2 linked regions of the Daphnia pulex genome follow. Each later gene encodes a partner of the first gene's protein in a complex. Links are inferred from orthologs where the notes say so. Each region holds a gene or a part of one and is shown on either strand. Other genes may lie near its edges.

Region 1 (11,556 bases):
GACGATCGAAAGGGCAGTGAATGCAAGCACTTACATTAAGAAGACCTGCGATGACGTTGTTGATGTTCCCCTCGTAATAGGAAATCTAGGAAATAGTTGCATGTCTTATGCCACCAGATAGATGTCCTTTCTTCTATAATGAAACTGAAACATTGATTAATACTGGAATTTAAATTAAACAAGTTAAATATTTTTACCTGGATGGGAAGATGTATAACATCGTGGCGGGACTGGTGGCTACGTGAATGTAACAACTCTGTTCTCATATATATGCTTCATCAGTCTCCCCCGCAGCAGTGTTGTTATTGATTGCTTCCCAGAATACTACTCACTAAATTGAAAGTGAGAGTATCTAAACATTTGACACAAAAATGACATAAATGACATATTTAACTTGCAATATTTAAAAAAAAAATTATGATTCACACCAAATAAAATATTTAGAAAGGAGAAACTCCCATTAAATATTTTGAATGATGAGCGGAAACCTAGCGGCGTGACCCTATTCAGTATAGACACAGTCAACAACAGGGAACAGTTGAAACTTGACCGTTCTCAACGACAGTAACTGATTATTTCGTGCTCCATCGTGCTCCATTTAACATCCCATTCGACTTTTAATTGCTTTTTTAAATCTTGGAAATTTCAAAATAAAGAAGAATTCGCACACACGACTAAAATGTGGACTACGTTATTCGTCTCGATTTTGGTACTGGTGAATGTCTGCCCATCCAACACTTCCAAAATTTCGCCATGGACTAAACTGCAAATATCTCCTACTGAACTTTGCTCTATGCCCTACGGCAGTTTTCGAGTGAACATTTACCAACACGCAAGCAATAACAAAAGTGACCAAAGCAACAACAAGTTTTTCTACGCTCCCATCGCCCTGCTAGATCACCAAAGTGCCGTCAGTCAATTCAACAACATCACGATGCTCCAGGAGATTCGATTCCGCATTGAAATGTGGAACGATATCGTCGAAAGCGAAGTGGTGAAGTATTTAAGCAAAGTAGTCGATCACGAAGTTCAACCTCATCAAGTGCAAGTGATACCCTTCGAGAAGGTGGTACTCGTCAGTACAATACCACCAAAAGCTGATTCTTTAACCACCAATTGGCTGCCTTTTGAATTCCACAAATCACTGCCATTTTCTCTTTCGTGTTTCGAACGAAATGTTTGCGACCAACTCGCTCAAGACATGCGCTCCAAACCCGAACAGTTCAACTATTTAAAATTTCTCTTCAGTTGGACGTGTCAGACTACGGAAACTAAGGACACAGTCATCCGCATGGAAAATGTCATTTCGAGTCAAATGGTTAACAAACTACAGCGAAGATTCAGTCAAGACACAAAAGAAGTTTTCCTGACTGCCAATGACGAGAAGCAACTTTTAGCAGAAACGACAACTAATGTCTTGATGGATACTTTCAAGGACTCGGATATCGTTTCACCTCACTCGGGACGGGTTGTTTATAACTCGTTGAACAACTTGCTCTTCTCTTCCACGGCCACCATTAAGGATCAAAGCGATTGGGACTTGGTCTTTTGGACAGACGACTTTTACCGACCGGATAAAACTTCGGACACGTTGAACAAAATTTTTGAAAAAATGAACACGGAAGGACAAGAAAAGTTGCGGAGGTTGTATCACCATGCAGATAAAATAGACGGCGAAGTGGCAAAGTTCATCGAGTTATTTGCAGATGAAGCAAACTCTACTAACGAATTATACCGTCACGGCTCAACGACGAAGGAGGGTATCGAAACATTTTATCGAGAAAGTAAAGACCACGTCATCTGGGCTAGTGATAAATTCATTCCCAAACTGCTGTCGCTCAATAGATTTAAACTGGCACAGTTAAGAGACCAACTATCGCTGCAATATCGTAAAGTGTCTATCCGTTACACCGCCGCCGCCCTGTCGATCCCTATGAATTTCGCCCAAAATGCTGACATGACAGTCACAGACGAATGGCACAGTCTCAAGCTCAGCGTAGCCAATCTGACAAAAGGATTATTAGGTAAGAAATGGTAATGCTAAATGCATCTCAATAAAAACCTATCAAGTATGTTGCGATCCAAATGAACAGGAAAAACAAGCGCAGAGAACTTCGACAAAATACCTAGATCTTGCGACGATCTTCGGAGGATCGGACACACCCATAGCGGATTGTATTCGATTATGGGAGCTCAAACGGTTAAAAGCGTCTATTGCAACTTTACAAAGCTTTCCAGTGATGCGGGTATAAAGCTCAATTATATTATAATCAAATTACGGATCTATTTATTTGAGTCAACCTTTGCAGATTTCCAGAAATTGATTGGATTTTTAGACGTCAAGTCATCGCCAACTTATTTCTTCGTGCAGAGAAAAACCAAGTTTGGGAAAAAAAATATTCCTATTCCTTTCGAAGTGGAAAGACTAAACACAGGAGGAGCCATGAACTTGGAGACAGGAAAATTTACAGCCCCTGTATCAGGAACTTATTTCTTTTCCTTTTCAGGAGTGATGGTATTTGGTTCAACATATCAGTTTATCAATATGGGATTATATAAAAATGATGAATTAATGGGAGCTGGTCATTCTGATGAGAGTAGTCAATCTGAGATGCTATCCTTACAATCGACACTCAATTTGAAAAGAGGGGATGAAATATGGTTGCAGATTTTTAGCATGTCAACATCAGGAGGGGGCATACGTGGAGATTATTTCAATAACTTTAATGGCTTTCTCTTACAGGAAAATATTGTTGAAACATATGGGAATCTTACATTATAATTAAGTTAAACTGCAAGTGGAAGCAAAATGGAGGCTGAATTTACTAATGCAGAAAACAATTTCTATAAATTAAATAATCTAAGTGGACAACCGGCTCAGACAAAATCTCTAAGAATATGCTGTAAGAAAATAGATCGTGCTGCTTACCAAATATGTTGGCTAAAGTTAGCTTAAAAAAAAGTCACAAGTTTAAAATAAAAATATGTCATTGTGCATCCATTTCAGATTCACTTTTCAGGTGTCAAACCACACAAAAGACTAAAATTCCAAAATAAGTAAATAACCCTTTCCCTCTTCCTGCTGCTGCGAATAACATGCGTGGTTGCCACATGAAAATGCCATTGGCAATGACGGGAAAAGCTTAAAAAAGTGGCATGAAATTTGTTTTAAATAAATGTCATGAGTAGGCCTATAAACCGAGAATTAAACTACAAATTAGAAATTGAATATCAAATCGCAGTAACAATCAATCAATGAAATTTATTATCACCACAATAGGTTCGGAGATATTCCTCACATGATGTAAACAAAATCAACCTTAAGTATCGTCTTCCATGGCAAGTTTTTTATTGGCTGCTGCATAGGCCTCAGAGCTGTCCGAGGTAACACCAGTTTGACCAGCGTACTGTTGCTGCTGTTGTTGCATTAATTCATGATTGAAAGTTGAATGAAGTATGAGCGGTAAAAGTCCAGCGCGCTGCGCCATGGCAGTTCGGATTTGACGTTCTTTTTCGAATAGTTCATCGAGTTTCAGCCACTGGCGAACTCTTTCCATGTCAATCTCGGCTCTTCTTAGCTTCTCCCAATTGTTGTGCTTGACGCACTTTTTCTTCTGAATCAAGCAGAATTCGCCAGTTTCATCAAAGACGTTCCGTACCGACGGATACCCGCATACATCAGTGTCATTGACCTATACAAAAGGAGACGTCACACTTCATAGATTCGAACTTAATATATCTTGAGAAAATTACCTTGGGATCTTTACAATGCTCCGGACATAGAACACGAAGTCGTTTGCAGTAAGTTCGGTTATTTGGATTGTAAAAGTCGCAAAACATGTTGTTGCCTTCTATCTTCGTTTGGAAGATTGAACCAAACGAAGTTTGACTTTCGTATTTGTTGAAACATCGCTCCATGTGCCGAATGGCATTGGTTTCTAAACAAGTATATTAAAAAGGAATATGATTTTTGACCCTAACTATCCAATGATCATTTACTTACGTGTAACACCGATGCCGCAAGTAACGCACTGAACAGTGGCCGATTCCGTTTCGCCGTCTCCACCTTCATCTGCTTCATCGTCAGAGTTTATGTCTACTGTAAATTTTTTCGCCTTTGCTGTTATTACGTCCAATTCCTGCATTGGTATCAACATAATCTTTTAGATACATGCCAGTAAACTTAACACTATGATAAAACTCAACCTTTTGTTTGAGATCTAGTTCTTCCAAAGCTTCACGGGCATCGGTTTGCTGTTTACGAATTTGTTCCAACTCTTTCTTGTTCTTCTCTTCGGCTATACAAGGTGTTAAGCCCCACTCTTGAATGCGTTGAGGCAAAATCTGTACGAAAACGACATTTTCCCACGGTTTTTTTATTTACAAAACTATTAAAATAACTAACCTGATAAATACGAGTAGTAGCCAATTTGAGACCACATTGGTCACTGCAATATTTACTTCCAGGTCGGGAAGCGTTGATGCATTGGGGACCATAACAGTGGATAACCTGAAATTGTGTTGATAATAACAATAAATTACCACATAAAACCATTTAAGAAATAGTATGCTTTACTTTTTGTTTATTCCGAGCCGGAGATTTTTCAACTTCGCTTTCACCTCCAGAATCTGTCGACGACGTAATTCTCTTTCTGCGGCGATGTTCCCCAGTAGTCGCAGAGGAACGGTATCTCCCCTTTGTTTTTTCCTGGAACAGAAATTTTAGTTAAAGGGAATGAAATTGGAAGTGAAGTAAAAATAAAACACCTTTTTATTGGTTGAATGTCGAGATGGTTTAGGGGCTGGAACAGGAGGTTTCTCTTTCCGAAGACTTGGCTCCCAGACGTCATCGTCGGAATAGTTTGCTTCTTTCAGGACAGGTTTTACCACAGGCTCATCTTCTTCAGATTTTATCTCGACTTTCTTCTGCTGTAAATATTTAATGCATTTTTAGTAATTATTTTATGCGTAAAATTTTTAAAATTGAGTAATACCTTTGGGGCGAAGGTAAGACAGACTCGATATTTACATTGTTGACGAGATTTCCCTTTACAGGCGTCACACTTGTTACAGTTATCTACTCGATAACAAGCGATACATTCACCACAATGGGGATATTGTGGAGTAGATTCCTTCTTTTCCTGTCGTTTCTTTGCTTTTTTTGCTGCCTCTTCCTTTCCTGCCTGTTCTAATTTCTTTTGTTTGTACTTGATTGTCAAACTGGGATCCCTTTGTCTACATTTCTAAAAATTAATCATACATTTTTTAAAAATAAAATAGCAAAATACAGAAATAAAAAATCAATGCATTACTGGACAGAAGAACTTTTTTATGAAGCGGGACTCTTCCTCAGTAATATCTAGTCAAATTTAAGCATGTTCCAATTACATTATTTAGTTATGTTCAGATATACAATATACCTATGCAGTCTCCATGATACCAATCTTCACAATAGTCACAACCACTGAATAAATAGAAAATTTGATGCATAAAATATATTTTTAAAATGAAAAAAACTAGATTTAGTTTCTAGAAGACTTACATCATAAATCTACTAGCATCAGAACTACGGCAGATGCAGTAAAGTTGTTCTTCAAGACCATGTTCTTCTTGCCTCATCATAAGGTCAATTTTAGATTGCCTCTCCGGCAATGTATGGTGTTTTGATATGTAATCTTTCTATAGATTTAAAAAAAAAAGAATGACTTTTAACTCCTATTCAAAAGTTGTTCATAACAGAATGAAGGTAACAGTACTGAACACGTAGGCCTAAATATACACGTAGTTCACTTACCGACATTTTTAGGAGGTAGGTTAGATAATCAAACAACTTGAAACGGTGAATTACTAAAAGTTCTTGATACTAGCGAAATTTGATTCAATAACGTGCGGATTCAACTCTTTTTAAAAAGTGTCTTTCTTTCCTTGTTGTCGAATTGTGATCTGTCAACAAGCTGAGCTGAGTGCTAACTGGCGAGGAGATAGGGAACTGCTATTAAAATCGTACTAGCTTATTTGATCGCTGGTAGATGGCAGTCGATGGTTCAATTGTCAACAATTCACAATATTTGCATTTGATAACAACACCACGTTATTGTACTCAGAATCCTGTTTTTCACTTACGTATAAAGGTAAAAAGCAGTTAGCAAATAGCTTAGTTTAATTTACCTTTTAATTATTTATTGACCATTTACTGTCGTGAAAAGATGGCCGAGTTTTATTGTGCTCATTGTAAGGTCCAAATGAACTCAAAATCTCAGTGGGATGCCCATGTAATTGGTGGGAAGCATATGAGAGCTGTTACAATGAATCAGCCCCTAGCAGTTGACATGTCAGCAGCAAGTATAAATTCAATTTATATTGTGTGTTTTGATACCAGCATTCAATATGTTCATTTTTTTTACATAGTTGTCTTGCCCAATGGAAATTTCAAATGTAAAAGCTGTGATGATTTCGAGTGTTGTGGTCACATACCTTTTGAGCAGCATTTGATAGGAAAAAAGCATTTGAAAAACGTCCAGCGTGGCAAAGAGTCCACTCAGTTTAACACAGCTGTCAAGTCACCTCTTTATGGTCAACGGCAACCAACTGCTCCTCTAGTTCACTCTCCACCAGCAATGAATAGTGGTTCCTTACCAATTGCATTAGCCGATGTGTCTTCAGCATGTAAAGTCTTATTCACTCCACACAAGTCACCAGAAAAAATTGCATTAGCTGTAACATTTATTTGCTTTATTTTCAGTGTTGCAACCTGATGGATCATACAAATGTAAAGTTTGTGTTGACTTTACTTGCTCAGGCCCTATACCCATGCAGGATCATTTGAATGGAAAAAGTCATTTAAAGAATTTGAAAACGTTTCCTGGCAGAAAATTAGCGTTTGAGCAAATGACCATTGCTGCTCCTACGTCTGAAGTCAATTACCGTCAGAGTTCGTTAACGGTCGACGAACGTATTGAAAAAGCGTGGAACCACCAGACAATTTGCGGCTACAACTACGATGAGTTATTTTCTAATCTGTCTATCGAGAAGAAGATTGAAGAGTTAAATCCACATTTTGCGTTTATCGGTAAAGATGATCCTATGCCCAATTTTGTCAAGTACTTGAGTATGTGATTAGTGTAATTTCAAAAAAAAAGCACAATCGATCCATTTTATATGCTATCTCTTTGTTGTTTACGCTTCGGCTGTTTCGCTGGACTAAGAGCACGTTGAAAGAAAACCAAGGAAAGCAATTTTTGTATATGAACTATATTGGCCAACTTTGAAGAATGATAATAAAACTGTTTGGAAAAAACATTAGTCTTCTAATTGGGCAGGAGTGAGGAAACAACAGAGTTTTTGTTCCATCCAGGAAGCTTTCGGCTTTTCTTTGGAAAAATGCCAGAGCTAATTTGTTGCTTGCTCAGTAAAAATGTGGTAACACTCTAGCAGCTTGGGGGATGCATATCCGATCGCTCGTGAAACAGCCAATAACGCTAGATTCAAGGCTAAATTTTGTTAAAAATGAAATCGTTTGCGAGCCAATTTGGGTCGGTGACTTCTTTGACCACTTCATAGCCCTGCAACGTCATATATTCCCTAATCTGGTCTTTACCCTCTTTGTCATGGATAAACTCGACTGACAGGGTCTACAAACGTAATAAACAATTGTTAATAAATATCTACATGAAATATATTTTGCTTTTAAAGTATACCTGAATTCTGACATTATTCCACGGTATGGTTTTCAGAACAGCTAATTCGTCGCCTTCAATATCTAAACTGAAGTAGTCTACTTCAGTTCGGTTGAGGGCTGCAAGGATAGAATATATTGGGAAGCATTGGACTTGGACGCTTCCCACTCGATTCTGATCGTCGAGTTGGTTTTGAGAGATTCTTCCTTGATTGAAAGCCTGTTTGAATACTACAGTTCTGCATACAACAAACAAATATGAAAGGCTCATTATTAAAGTGCTTGTCAAGCTTGTAAAAAGTGTGTCAATATTTACTTAGGACTGGAGGAGGTACTAAGGCAAGCAGGAACAGTCCATGCTCGACGATTTTTCTCTTGAACTTTCAAGAAGTTTTTGGGGTCGGCTTCAATCAAAACGCCTTCCCAACCTAAATTTCGTTCCATAAACAAAGTGTTTGAACGAAGTTCGCCATCCAAGGCACCACATTCCACAAAAAAGCCATTCTCCTGTTGGGCAACAGTACAATAAACATTGAAACATGCGAACAACCTTTCGTGATAAACTGTTATTGTACCTTATTTTTCAAGATTTCAAGTATACTTTGAGCTTGCCCCATGGAAGGATTTGGAACCTCTGGTGCTTCAAGACTAAGCTTATTTTTAGATGGAGGGTGTAAGTATTGGCCACGCAGTAAACTTAATATGCAGGGGTCATCTTGATCCATAACTGCTGAATTCACATTTTCTGAAAATTTGAAACGAGAATTAGTTTGAATTCATCTTTAATAAATGAGTGACACATTACAACACCTGTATTGCATACCCCACTATAGTGAGGTTTTCCTTGGGAATGACTGGACTGGTAGTATATCAATATCACACAGGCAAAACACACCCCCATGAACAACACAACAGGTCGCTTGAGAACTGGACTCATTTCGAGAGAAAAGGTTTGACACCTGGGCAGTAACGGATTAATAAACTTTTGCAGAGTTGTTATTGCACTTGAACGTGATGACAAGCTAGAAATGTCAGTTAGCTAAAATGCATTCCTTATTTAAAGTTAAAAGTGATAATTAAACACCACAGCAGAGTCTTCATTGGATTAATGCATAGCACGAAATACACAGGTGCGGAGAGGGTAACACTTATTAGAGAGAAAGTTTCTCTTACGACGAGCGAAAATTGGCAGACGGATCTCCATCAACAGCCCAGCTGCTGAAAAAAAAATTTCTTTACGTAGACTTCACTTTTATCGCCAACTGAACATTACACTCTCGATAGTTGAATCACAAAACGATTGATACCTTGGAGCAGAAATATGATACACACACACACATAAAGACAGGTACTACTGAACGAGATACGTGTGTGTGTGTGCCTATGTACAGAGAACGTATTGGACTCGACTCATAACGTACAGTGGCACACAAGAACTGTTTTACAGGTGAGCTTTCTAAAGAACAAACATTAATACAGAATATGAGATACAAAGCAACAAACTGAGCCCGAGTGAAAGTGACAATTGCTTCGCGGTAGAGTACGTCGACTACGGCCCGCAAAACCAGTGTGTACTAAGTTGTTCCTCAACAACCAAAAGAGGGGCGGACTTGCAGCACAGAAGGCGTCGCCAAGTTTTGAAATAAAAATTCTGGAAAAATTGTTGGAGAACCAATTATTGCCAAATAAACAAATAAAAAACTTAAATGCTAGTTGTTTTAACAATATATAAAAGAAAACTTTGGTCACGCTAATCGAAAACTCTATAAAAACAAAATTGCAGTTAATTGCAACTTAGTAGCAATAAAATACGGATGGAGTATTTTATATCTTTATTCACATTGTTTTTGATAATAATGTGTTTGCGAAATAATCGTATCTTTTAGGATTAACTAGAGAAAACATTTACACGTGTGAAATTGGGTTTTATTTACGCTCGTCGATTTCGATCAAAATTCATCAAACTGGTTCTCCATTGTTTACGTTCGATCTTCCGATTCGACCAAATAAAACTAAAAAAGCGATTTCCATAGTCTCCTTAATTTTTAAGAGGAGGAGATTCAGATCATTACCGCAACCATTTCTTAAAATAACTTCTTTCTCTTATTAAATGGGGTGATTGAACGATCATGGTTGGCTACATTAAGGAAAAATAAAATTCGAATCACTAGACTCAAAAGTGGTTCTGGTGTTGTATTGCAGCACGATTGTTGAAACAACGCCACAGGGCTCCTTTTTTTCAAAAATATAAAGCGATCATAATGTGATCGTCATTTTTTTTTTATTCAACAGAAATTGTACCTATTTCGAAATTTCTACTGTCATTCCTTGTAAAGCAAAACGAAATTTTTTTGCTCTCTCGGAAAAGAACGAGAACGTGACCGACCTGATTTGAATGCACAATGTCATTAAAATCAAAAGTGTGTATATCAATCTTTCATTTTTTATTTTTTTTTATTCTTTGAAAAGTGACTTGAGGCTATCAACATAATAAATATTCGTTGATGAAGCACCGGCCGGTGCGCGGTCATTGCTTGTCGAGTTAGACAGTTTGTTCAACCCGAGAATTTTTCACCGGGGGGTTACAGCAACCAACGTGATGGTAAAAAGAAAAAAAGGCGTTTACGCTACACTGATTATTACCACATGGCTGTGTTGAGCCTGTGTGGTGATCAACATTCTTCGACGTATGTGGATAGAAGCGGAGGAGAGAGTAAGCCGGTGTTACAACTTTTTTAAAATTTTGGCAAGAACTCGTCGTTCGACTTGTTGGGAAAGTGAATCAGCATAATGCCTCCTCTCTCTGTTGAAACAAAAGTGCCGATCTCGTAAAATTTCTCCCTAGCGACCGAAGATCTGTCAGGGATGTATAGCGCTCTTTTCTTCTTCGACTACACGCCTGTTTGAAGGACAGACAAAATAATAACAACTGCGCCTTTTTTTTACTTTTCGGCTTTCTAAATACCGCCGTTGCTATGTCCGTTTTTGAAATATGTGGGCCGATTATTTATGGTGAACGAATTCTAAATTAAAATGTCTGTTTGGTTATCACGACCTCATTCAGATCGCCAAAAACATTTTCTCCGTTTGGGCGAAAGATTATCACGATTTCGATGGAAAGGTCATGAATACAGGGCGGTGCCCTGTTGGCAATTTCTCGTCGGAGAAAACGCGTTGGTGGCCGTGAGCATTTCACGATGCTGCTGATGTCATCTTCCCCGAACGCACCAGACTCGTTTAGAAGGAACAGAATGGAAAGAACTTTCTTTCAGATTCTTATCGACAAGAGTTATAAATATTTATGAGCACCTGCAAAACTTGGCCTGTCCACTAAATCCCGCCGAAAAGAAAAATAAATTTGACAAAATTTAAAATTATACCTTTCAACGGGCCATAAAACGGCCAAGTCAGGCCTGGAGCGTGTATCACATTTGTCAAAAAAACAAAACAAAAACAAAAAAAAAAAAAAAAAAACAACTTTTACTAAATTGACACCTGGTAAGTGAAGAAATTTGTGTCGAAATAATTTTCACCACTTCACGGTAAGTTACCGATGAATGAAACATTTCATCATGTGAATTTCGTTTGTTTTCCTTATCAAAATGATATCGGGCATTTCCCGCCTTATTATAGTGGGTCAACTAAAGTTTCTCTAATTGTTCGACAACCCATTCTTAGCCTTATTATTTATAGACGGTCACCGTTATAAGGTTCCCAGACGACTGGTGCCCGCCTTTCTTGAAGTAGTTAGCCAACAGCGATACACTCACTCCTCTATAATAATTATTTCCGCTAGCGAAGAATCGCTTCGAGTTAACGGCACCAGGTGTCTAGACACGACTTGACAGGTATTGAGTAACAGAAATTGCCCACGCACGGAA
Region 2 (11,148 bases), on another chromosome or scaffold:
ATCCGTGTTGAGCATGTTGTCGTACAATTCCACGTCGGGAATTGTTGTCGACATCGGGGAGAGGATCGACATCGTGCCCATCATGGACGGTTACATGTTGGAGTCGAGCGCTTCGCAGGTGCCGTACGGAGGCCAGCAATTGGTCGATCACTTGCGCCATTTCCTCGTCCAGCAACGCTGCTCCCTTTTCACCGACGTGGAATCTTACCTGATCCGTCACGTCCTGGAGAAACTGGCTTACGTGGCCGGGCCGGACACTAATTCCTACAACGCCGAACTGAATAAAGCAAAGAGTGATCCATCCTCTGTCAGGGATTCCGTCGATTTGAAACCTTTCAGCAACGGCCAACTTCCCTGGGAGTAAGTTTAGAAACGTTTTCTTGCTATGTAAACTATTTCTGGATAACAATGTCTTCCTTTTCTTGTTAATGATTAGTGAAATTTCACTGGAACTGGGTCGTTTCCAAGTAACCGAAGGTCTTTTCCATCCCGAGGCTTGGGGTTTGGACAATCCCGGAATTCAAAAACTCGTTCACAAGGCCATCCAAGTAAATAAAAATATAAAAAAAATGAAACAAAACGTAGTTAAAAGAGACGATTTCCAACTATTTCTAAATTGTTCAACCGAAACAGGATTGCAGTGTGGACATTCGTAAAGAAATGGTGCGCAGTATCTTTCTAAGCGGCGGCGTCACCCTACTGCCCAACTTTCCCGAACGGCTCGAGGCTGAAATAGATCGAATCACTCCATCGCATCTCATTCCAAAAGTAATATTGGGCCCATTCCATTTGTATGTTGGACTGTACTTAAATTGTAAACCACTCATTGACACAGGTCCACGCTTCGCCGTATCGCTACCACGCCGCCTACCTGGGCGCTTGTGTTTTGAGTAACTCGTCGACCTACGAGCAATCGAAAATCAGCCGAGACGAATGGCGAACTAACGGCCCCGACAGTGTCCGTAAATGGAAGCCTTAAAACATTTCTAAAATAGTTTCGCCCTGTTGGTTTTTTTGTTTTCAAAATCCCATTTCAATTTTTAAGTATATATTTAAGAAAAGCTAAGAATCGATTCGTGCTGGTCTTTACCCGTCCGCGCCCAATTTCCCTTTGTTTAAAGATGGATTATTATACAATCGAAATATGAACATCGTACTCGGTAGAGGTGGGCGGTTTCCTCCACAAAGAAAAAATTAATTTTTTTTTTTTAATGCCGATTACAATCTGAATTTTCTACCTTCATTTCCTGCAGAGTGTATCATACATACCGCTTCGTTTCTATTGAGAGGAAACAAATAAAATTGCTTTCGAAAAGGCTGCACAACCCTTTGATTTTATTCGTCAAAGAAAATGAACAGATTTCCTTGTGAGTGGCTGAAGAGGATAATGTGGTTTTGTTGAATGTGAAAGCAAACAAACGGGTGGAGACAGTCGCAAGTCGGCGGTATAAAATAAAAAACCAAGAAAAAGACCCATTCTCCTTTCTCGGAGAAAATAGTGTGGAACAAAGGACCGAAGGATGATTGGAAAACAAAATACTACAGGAATTAAGAGAAATGTAGGGACGACAGTTACCAATCAAAATAAGACCAAAAAAAAAAACATGATGCGAATGTGTTTTTTGTGGGTTTCGCGTGAAAAATGTTTTGAAACGACGCGGAATGCGAAAAAAAAGACGATGATAAGTACTTGCGGACACATCCAGCGGAGCTGTCCCAGGTAACGGAGTTGTCACGTTTCTTTTTCTCTTTTTTCTGTTTTACTCGTTATTATTCTTCTTAACGCGGTTTATCTAGGGCTGGAAGGTATCCATGTTGGCCAAATGAGCGGCGGAGGGCAAGATCACGCTGCCGGGCGTGACGTAATCGCCGATCATTAAACTATTGCTCAACGGGTAATGGGATGTGGCCCCCAATACGAGCTGCTGCGTCTAAAATGGGTTTCAAAGCAATAAAAGTTATTGCCTTTGTGTCCAGGACGTCCAGGTCGTAAATTTAGCATGACGTACCGTTGTGTACGAGTTGCCTCCAATTTGCGACGTTGGGTAAGTGTTGGCTACCTGAGGTCTGCCTCCCCGCGCACCGACTTGATTTTCTGACGAGTGGGAAGATCCGAGTGAAAGGAGACAGAAAGAAAAAGGAGGAAGTTACTTGACACGTTCGCAACCACACGTCAAACCAAATAGTTACCAACTCTCTTTCTCTTTTTAACAACTTTTAACTGGCCTTAATTGGAGGAAAGCAAAGAAAAGAAAAAAGGAGGGGCTGTAGGAGATGGTATGATCCATAGCGGGAAAGACGTGGCAAAAGTTGCGTACCTAAAATCAAGTAGTGGGTGAGCTGCTTACCCAGACCCAGCAGCGACGAATTAGAGTTGTTGACGCCCGTCACGTCGCTCATCGCAGACACTTCTCCGAGGCCGTTGACCGTCATGCCGTTGACCATGGTGACAGCTGAGAACATGATAAAAAACCGTTTAGCAGATGCAAGTGGTGTTTCATCATTGAAGTGTCGACGTACGAGAAAACGGGTCACACTTACCTTGCCGCGCACCTTGAACGTCGAGCTGGGCCCAGTAGGTTTCACTAGGTGATGCACTGCTGTGACCCGGAGGTGGCTGCGCCGGTTGTCCAGCATAACGGAAGTATGGATTTTTCAGGTCGAGGGTGTTGCTGCTGGTCAGACCAGATCCCTCCACTCGCAAATCAATCGTAACATCGTAACTTTGCCTAAAGGAAAGGGTTAATTGAGTTTCAAGTTTGCAAATAACAGTGAGGGTTTCGAGACTAACCTTTTGTTGGCCAAAAGTAGGACGGTTCCGGTGAGCAGCTGACCCTGCTTGACGAAAATTGGAGTTTCAAGCAAACAGCGCACTTGGTACCAGTGAGTCAACGGTTCAGTGGGTGCAGTGGATAACCAGACAGAAGTCGATGAGCCAAAGAACGCCACGTCGAACCAGAAGGCTAACCCGTGAACTAAGCCAGACTGTAGGGCATGAAATTCGAGCGGGATATCTGAGAACGAAGAAGAAAAAAATACTTTCAGCAACTTGACACCTACCACAACAAACCAATGAAAGTAATACATACCCATTCGGTGAAGATCGGATTCTGACGCAGTGTGAAAGTCTACAACGTGCCTGACGGACTTGGCGGTGCAAATTCGAATATCAAATGTATCAACAATGGGTTGGCGAAAGTATTCCTTCATAGCGGCCGCTCTCAAGCAACTCAAGTCGACTCCGTGGAAGCTTTGCTGGTACCTGGAAATGATAATTATCCGATTATATATACATTATTTCGCAACGCATGAAAAATATTGATTTTACCAAAAGTTGGCTTTATTAAATTGTTCCATGTACAGGGTTTCATCATTAAAGGGAGCTATGTGCAGATCACCTCTTGAGGGGAACATTTTACCTAGATACAAAATTGGTAACTGAAATTCAAGTGAAAGCAATCATGACTAATCTTACCGCCCGGCTTGAGCCACTTCTTAGCGTGAAGAAACGTTTCCAACATTCTTTCATTGAAAAGCATGTAGCCCATGGGTTCAGAAATGATAATATCAACTTTTTCTGGTAATTCAATCTCTTCTATCTTGCCAGCCACTACTTGGATCTGTTCAAGGGAATTGAACTTTGCCAAAGACTACATAAACAAAATGCAATATTTATTAGACAGTTAATTAGAGAGCATGAATTGTGAACTACCTCAGCATGTTGAGCCATGGTAGATGCTTCAACAGCATACACTTTAGAAGCTCCCGATTGGACAGCAAAAAATGACAGAATGCCAGATCCTGCTCCAACATCTAGAACTACTTTATCCTAAAGATAAATTGTCTTAATAAGGTTTCAAACAGTTCAACAGTTATGAACAAAGAGACTTACTCTAAAATCATCCAAGTTGGATAGAATGGCTCTTTGGTATGTGCTTGTTCGTATGTAGTCCTGCATCATGTTCTGCTGCTGAGATAAATATCCATAAAATTGAAAGTACTGTGAGGCTGAAGAGTCTTCTGTTCTTTCTGTGAATACTGACAAATCTTTGCCCAGCTGTAACTTGCCCAATGACTTGTGAAAATTGGATGCATCTATGTAAAGACAACTTTTAACATTCGAACAGAAATGGAGTACAAAGGAAAGCAACTGACCTGTGTCATTTTTGAATGTGAATAATATAGTTTCATAGTCAAATTCAAACAGGTAGCCTTTCTTGCCTACTTTTGAGTATTCTGAAGTTCTTGTGACTGGAAACTCAAATAGGTCTCGTCCGGTTTCTGTGTCATAAAAAATGTATTAAGATATATGGCAATTTGAGCTCTACTAATTGACATTTCCCACAACAGAACACATGTCCGTCGTCTGGCTTCGAACTGTCATCATTGACAATAGTTAACACTACCTGATTGAACGGTGATGCTGATTCCATTCGGATCGTAGCAAGATTTCAAAACGACAGGTTCTTCATATTTCGGCTTAGATTGACCAGAGTCTGACAGGGACGAGACAATCACACCGCTGAACGCGTCAGCCGCCATTGTTACACTATTGAATAGGTACTAAAATGAGCTGCAATGCCTGCAAAAAAAAAGCGAGTGCCGAGTTCTTTGCGCGTCCCTCGAGTACAGACGACAGTAATGAAACCGTTACTCAAGTTGCACTAGAGCTGGAAAAATCAGAGAGATTTTCGCACGCGGTCGACTCGTTCTTTCTCCGTTGCCAGTTGCCACTTTCTTGTTTAATCACTTTAAGACAAGATTTAAATTTAGCATAAATTAAGATGGATTTTTTAACTACAATAATCCATTATCGTAGCGAGACTTCTTCAACAAGATTGCGCAACGGCGCAACTTGCAACATGCATTTCGCACACTTGAGTGCATTAGCGCCACTGTAAACAATAACTAGGAACCCACAAGACACCGCCAAAAAAGTGATTCGTTTCTTATTTTCCTTTTCCTTTGCGAATAATTTGCTGTCTATCACATTGAACTGAATGCACATTAAAGGCGAGATGAAACTGACTGAGCCAGTTGTTCGAAGTTTCAGGGTTGCAAAAGTTTTTAAGGAGAACACAGATCGGATCAACAACATAGACTTTTCTCCTACGGGAGATACGCTTATTTCGAGTAGTGAAGATGATCAAATTGTAATATACGACTGCGAAAAGGGAACGTAAGTGATTAGAATTTTATCAATACCAATGAATAGTTTTCAATTTTTCTATAATTTCACACAGGCAAAAACGGACAGTAAACAGCAAAAAGTATGGTGTTGACCTGGTACACTTCACTCATGCCAAAAATACGGCTATCCATGCATCAACAAAAGTTGATGGTAGGTCTTGTTTAATCAAATTAAACACAATGAACATTTAAACACCTTTTATTTCCCAATAGACACTATCAGATATTTATCATTGCATGACAATAAATACATTAGGTATTTCCCCGGACACACTAAAAAGTAAGTTCTGTGATACCAAATAATTATTACTTCAGGAATCTAAAACGATCTTTATATGTTGATCAGGGTAGTAGCATTGTCAATGTCTCCTGTGGATGACATGTTTCTGTCTGGCTCATTGGACAAAACTTTGAGATTATGGGATCTTCGGTCCCCAAACTGTCAGGGGCTAATGCATTTAACAAGTAGACCTGTTGCAGCATTTGATCCAGAAGGACTCATTTTTGCTGCTGGAGTTAATTCAGAGAGTGTGAAACTCTATGACCTTAGATCATTTGACAAGGTATTTATAGTCTAGTTAAAGTTTTCTATTTTGGTCTATATTCATGGTTTGTTTCATTTTAAGGGTCCCTTTGCTTCGTTCCGGCTTAATACAGAGAAAACTTGCGAATGGACTGGATTAAAATTCAGTCCAGATGGCAAAACAATCCTTCTTTCGACCAACAGTAGCATCATTCGACTAGTAGATGCTTTCCACGGCAACCCAACCCACACATTGACGGTATGCAGCCTTTCAGTATTTAAGAAAAAACATGTGTTCATTTTATTTTTGTACTTTATCAGGGTCATCTTAACGATAAGAAAATTCCACTCGAAGCGTCATTCAGTCCCGATTCCCAGTTTGTATTCAGCGGTTCAACGGACGGTCGAGTTCACGTTTGGCATGCTGAATCGGGTCATAAGGTAGCAAAACAAAATGAAAGATGTTAAAATTCAATAAATGTTGAACTTCTATTTCCTGATCAGATATGCGTTTTTAATGCTGATCACAACGGCCCAGTGCAGTGTATTCAGTTCAATCCCAAGTATATGATGCTTGCCTCTGGATGCAACAACATGGTAAGAACAGATTTTTGAAAACATTTCATTTTGAATAATGCATATTTCTCCTTTCCTGCTTGCTTTTTCTAGGCCTTTTGGCTTCCTTCGGAGGACAATTCATAAAACGACAGTAGCATAATTTATTAAAGTGTTACATGTAAAGTCGTATCCTTAATTGTTTATCATTGTCCAGCTCATCCTTGGGCTCTTCATAGCCATCATTCTGAAATTTAGTTGTGTTTGGCTCGTATCTGTGGCAGTTCAATTTTTGCTCCTGTCGAACTTGCCAATCGGCAATCGCGATACTGGGCCGTGTTCTTATGAAAACTTGATGATAAAGCATAAATAAATGTTTTTTTGAACCCGGTCGATTTTTATCTGCAGGTAGCACAAATGTCAAAGGTTGACGCGGATCATTAAAGACCATATGCGATTGTGTCATATATTTCTTGATATCCGATATTAAATAAGGAGTGCTGTAAGTCAAAGTTGTTTTTGTATGTATTTATAGATGGGGTCACCAACGTTCCCGCTTGCTGGGGTTTGAATTTGAGAAAGCAAGCGAATACTAGGCTGCCTTAGTGCCTTATACACACATACATTTCTCTGAAAGTTTACCTTTCATTCGTTACGTCCTAATTTTCTAAAAAAAGAACGACCTAGCTAACCCTGCCACGCCACCAGATGGTATGGAAATTTATCCCTGTCATCAAGACAAAGTTTCTCATCTTTAGAAAAAAACCTTTATATTTTTCTTGTTATGAAAGAAACTTTTTAGATTGTTTGAAATGCGCCTTTATAAAGTCGCGCCTAAATGGAGAAATTTACTTATTTAACAACGAACCTTGCCACTACTCGTAAGTAATTGAAAATTCTCCGGTTATTTAATAAAAGTTAATTTGAAAAATAATTGTTTCTGCCACTATAGTCATAAGACTTAATTAAAGAGAACGAATGGAATTCTCCGAAAATTTTAAATGACACATATCACTGGATCAGTAGCTATTACTTTCCAACTGGTGTCATTTTTCAGGTTTCATAAAATTATACAGAAAACTCGTTTACGAAAAAGTAGATAAATATATAGCTTGTGCTTTAAAAAAAAGTAATTTGGAAAGTGGGTTTATTTTGTAAAAGAGATACTATTTTGTAAAAGAGATACTATAGACAAGTTCGGGATGCTGAGTTGCACAACCGCAAAATTAGGATCGTGCGCCAACGAGTTTTTGTAACGTTGTGGGGATAGTAGAAAGCGGGTTTTTTATTATTTAAGCATAGAATTACTTATCTAATCTTAGAAATGTTCAGGATTATCGTTGTTTAGAACATTCTGCTTTTTATAGAGTAATTTGAAATGTATAATTCAGCTTAGTTTACCCATTAAAATTAAAGAAAGTCCAAGCCTGGGATGCTGTTTAGTCTTTTCTTGTGTGTTTGAGCTTGTCACTTGTCAGCAGATCTGTCAAAAAACACAAGAAAAGACTAAACAGCATCCCAGGCTTGGACTTTCTTTAATTTTAATGGGTAAACTAAGCTGAATTATACATTTCAAATTACTCTATAAAAAGCAGAATGTTCTAAACAACGATAATCCTGAACATTTCTAAGATTAGATAAGTAATTCTATGCTTAAATAATAAAAAACCCGCTTTCTACTATCCCCACAACGTTACAAAAACTCGTTGGCGCACGATCCTAATTTTGCGGTTGTGCAACTCAGCATCCCGAACTTGTCTATTATCCTAGATCCTACATCGTGAATCCGTGATCCCGATTCTGATTAGTTGATTACTGTAGAGCAGACGTCTCAGTTAGTCAGTCTCACCATTACGCTCACGTGGGATAGTTTGATTTTCTGTTAGTTCTCATTTCCCAGTATTTTTTTTCTATTAGCCACTTTGGTATTCGTTTCTGTTGATATTTTAACGAATGGCAGGGAAAGTCCTCAGAAAGATTTCTTCTATTCTGAATCGTGCTTCAAATTGGTCTATGTTAAACGAACTGTCATCATTTTCTAGTGTCAGAATGAACCAACATCTAGCTATGGATCCTACTCAAGCTCTCCTACTTCAGGAGCAATGCATTTCCGTCGACACTAATGATAGAGCAGTTGGGAATTTATCAAAGGAAGCAGCTCATTTACTTGGTCCAGATGGTCAACTCCCACCTCTTCATCGGGCCTTCAGTGTTTTTCTCTTTAATACCAAAAATGAGCTACTGATGCAACAGAGATCCAATCACAAAATTACTTTTCCTGGTTTGTATGACTACAGCAAAGTAACTATAGTCTAGTAAATGTGTTATTTGTAATAGGTTATTATACAAATTCCTGTTGCAGTCATCCGTTACATAATACAACACCTGATGAAGCTGAAGAAGCTCACCATGTAGGGATCAGAAGAGCTGCTAGAAGAAGGCTTGAAATTGAACTGGGCATCAGTCCAGATAGTATTGAGCTGTCTGATTTTAAAATTCTCACCAGAATCATTTATGGTGCACCTTCTGATGCCAAATGGGGTGAACATGAAGTGGATTATATCCTGTTTTTGAGGAAAGACGTTCCCGTAAAACCCAACCCGAACGAAGTGAGCCGCGTTGTTTTCGTCTCCCTATCCGGCTTTCAAGAATTTCAAGGCTACCTCGAAAAGAATAACATCCCCTTTACACCGTGGTTCAAACTTATTCTCAACAGCCATCTTAAAGTATGGTGGAACCAATTAGATAATCTCGAAAGAATAGAGTATGACCCCGTTATACATAGCCTCTAAATGCACTGACGTTAATGACGTCATTTGTAGAAACTATACGGTTTCAATCCAAACAAGAAACAAAATTATTTATTCAGATGAAAGTGTAGCTTTTCTCATTTATTCAATTATTCATGTACAATTTGACAGCTTAATCTAATGTGGGTTGCGACGGTACCAAAACCTGGCGCGGTAATCGTCTGAGCAGGTGAGAAAAGCCGCCGTACTAGGCGCATGGATAATGTAACGGACCGCACCATTGTGACCTAAAAAAATATCAACAAGATATTAAATGAATTATTTTATCCATTGAATTTTTTCCTCCTTACCAAGCGACAACAACTGTTTGCGTTGAGCTGTCCGAGCATCCCAACAACACAAGGATGTTGTTGCCTCGTCGGGGAACATGACAAAATCTTCCGAATGGTTAAATAGAGCTTGAGCACGGTGCTCTTGTTTGCCTTCATAAACCATAATTACGTTTGATTATTGAATATAAGCCTCATACTTGTAATAATTATCTTACCCATTGTGCCAGCTCCAGTGTAGGCTATAATGCAGCGTAGTGAAGAGAGCTCCCAAAGTTTAACAGATGAATCCGTGCCAGATGAAAGAACATACTGATTAATTAGAGAAAAAAAAACATTGACATACAGTTAAAACCAGTTATAAATATGGGTAAGAAACGACAGTGTAAATACTTTGCCACTGCGAGAAAATGTAACAGATCCAACTTCCGCACCGTCGTGGGCTTGGCTAATGGTACCGACACACTTGTTAGACACTCCGTCCCAGAGTTTTATGGAACCATCTCGAGAACCGGATACATAAAGTTTGCCATCAAAAGAATACCTACGATAAACACATTATAATTTGTTTAACAAATGCTTTCTTCCAATTAATAAATACTTAAGTGAGGTAATAGCGTTGGTGTGATACTGAGACGGAAATGAACAGACGTAGCATTGAGCGGTGTTGGTGTCATACAGACGTACAACGGGCTGATTTGTACCAACAACCAAATAGTCTCCGGTAGGATGGAAAGCCATGCAACGAATTTGATCTGAATCCTATTAAACAAATCATATAAAAATTCAATAGGAACTGTAAGGGCCACGAGAAAAGCTTTTTTGTTACTGATAGTGTTTTGAAAGCTTTCTTTGCCGCTGCTTTACTGAAGTCAAATAATTTAACAGTGCAATCGCGAGATCCAGATGCGAGAATGGCGTCACGAGGATGGAATTCCAGACAGGTCACTTCTTCTACGTGGTCATATAAAGTTCTGATAACAGGATGGCCTTGCTGATCAGTTGCCATTTCTCCATCTGGGGATGATTTAGCCAACATTCGATCAACATCAAGGATCTACAATTGAACTTGTTATTAGGTAATGAAATTGTAGAAAGGTGTTGCTCATGTCACCTTGATGGATGCATCAACACTTCCAGTGGCAACTAACTGACCATCAGGGCTGAAAGCCCCAGATCTACATTGCGCTTTGTGGGATGTTACATATGCAGTTTCATAAAGTGCTGGTTCTGGAGCTGAGGTTTGAACATCAGTTTCATATTCCAAATCCAGTCCTGGACCCAAAAGCATCTCCACTTTATTTAATGGTTTCTTCAATGCTGAAAAATATTACCAAAGATTAAACATGGTTATAAAATTGTATTTCCTATCATTGAATATCGAGTTACTGTGTTCATGCTGAAGTCCTAGCGAGACAATATGATTGAGTCGATCGGATGGGGGGCATGTTGGATGTGCTTGAACTGCTGATGATAGACTGACAGCCAGTGATTGGAAACCATCATAAAATAATTGGCTACATAAAGGGAAAAACACGTCAAGACAATATAACCACGCGTACGATGACTCGAGTACAAACTTAACTATGTTACACTACCTGATAATGAGTCGATAAATTTGTTCTTTAAACTTTATCGCATTTTTAGATTCCATCGCTTCCAAAATTTCGGAGTCTTTCATTTTGTGTGAATTAAATATTCAAAATCGAACGAGAAAAATACAAGAACAAGATTATGTCTTTCTCGAACCAGTGTAAACACAGAAAATGCCGACAAGTAGGATACGATTTCAAGATAACAA

What was found.
Region 2: CXXC-type zinc finger protein 1-like (region 1) and WD repeat-containing protein 82-like share a complex: the UniProt entries of both Drosophila melanogaster proteins name them as parts of the SET1 complex. The link is inferred for Daphnia pulex from reciprocal best matches to the Drosophila melanogaster genes Cfp1 and Wdr82.

The regions. Positions count from the first base shown.
Region 1 is NC_060019.1:1,598,944-1,610,499, forward strand, and holds CXXC-type zinc finger protein 1-like, read right to left. Parts: upstream 5,967-11,556; 5' UTR 5,801-5,966; coding exon 5,795-5,800; intron 5,680-5,794; coding exon 5,543-5,679; intron 5,465-5,542; coding exon 5,421-5,464; intron 5,360-5,420; coding exon 5,313-5,359; intron 5,244-5,312; coding exon 4,995-5,243; intron 4,930-4,994; coding exon 4,768-4,929; intron 4,709-4,767; coding exon 4,577-4,708; intron 4,511-4,576; coding exon 4,406-4,510; intron 4,345-4,405; coding exon 4,207-4,344; intron 4,140-4,206; coding exon 4,004-4,139; intron 3,939-4,003; coding exon 3,754-3,938; intron 3,693-3,753; coding exon 3,321-3,692; 3' UTR 3,243-3,320; downstream 1-3,242. Other genes in the region: uncharacterized protein LOC124190982, read left to right, coding at 680-2,024, 2,094-2,246, 2,310-2,782; uncharacterized protein LOC124190992, read left to right, coding at 6,030-6,131, 6,207-6,342, 6,409-6,666, 6,743-7,116; protein Star-like, read right to left, coding at 7,491-7,631, 7,698-7,914, 7,992-8,182, 8,251-8,420, 8,486-8,612. UniProt on the Drosophila melanogaster protein: Component of the SET1 complex that specifically di- and trimethylates 'Lys-4' of histone H3. Essential for Set1 association with chromatin and trimethylation of histone H3 at 'Lys-4' at transcription puffs.
Region 2 is NC_060027.1:1,884,751-1,895,898, reverse strand, and holds WD repeat-containing protein 82-like, read left to right. Parts: upstream 1-4,878; 5' UTR 4,879-5,000; coding exon 5,001-5,179; intron 5,180-5,243; coding exon 5,244-5,341; intron 5,342-5,403; coding exon 5,404-5,470; intron 5,471-5,536; coding exon 5,537-5,753; intron 5,754-5,816; coding exon 5,817-5,972; intron 5,973-6,034; coding exon 6,035-6,154; intron 6,155-6,217; coding exon 6,218-6,310; intron 6,311-6,382; coding exon 6,383-6,415; 3' UTR 6,416-6,658; downstream 6,659-11,148. Other genes in the region: uncharacterized protein LOC124207812, read left to right, coding at 1-360, 437-548, 634-768, 836-979; histone-arginine methyltransferase CARMER-like, read right to left, coding at 1,794-1,931, 2,010-2,095, 2,319-2,453, 2,521-2,729, 2,792-3,014, 3,090-3,262, 3,329-3,419, 3,476-3,650 and 4 more; isopentenyl-diphosphate Delta-isomerase 1-like, read left to right, coding at 6,977-7,149, 8,311-8,549, 8,606-9,060; cleavage stimulation factor subunit 1-like, read right to left, coding at 9,196-9,305, 9,369-9,500, 9,566-9,659, 9,741-9,891, 9,949-10,109, 10,177-10,404, 10,462-10,667, 10,737-10,864 and 1 more. UniProt on the Drosophila melanogaster protein: Component of the SET1 complex that specifically di- and trimethylates 'Lys-4' of histone H3.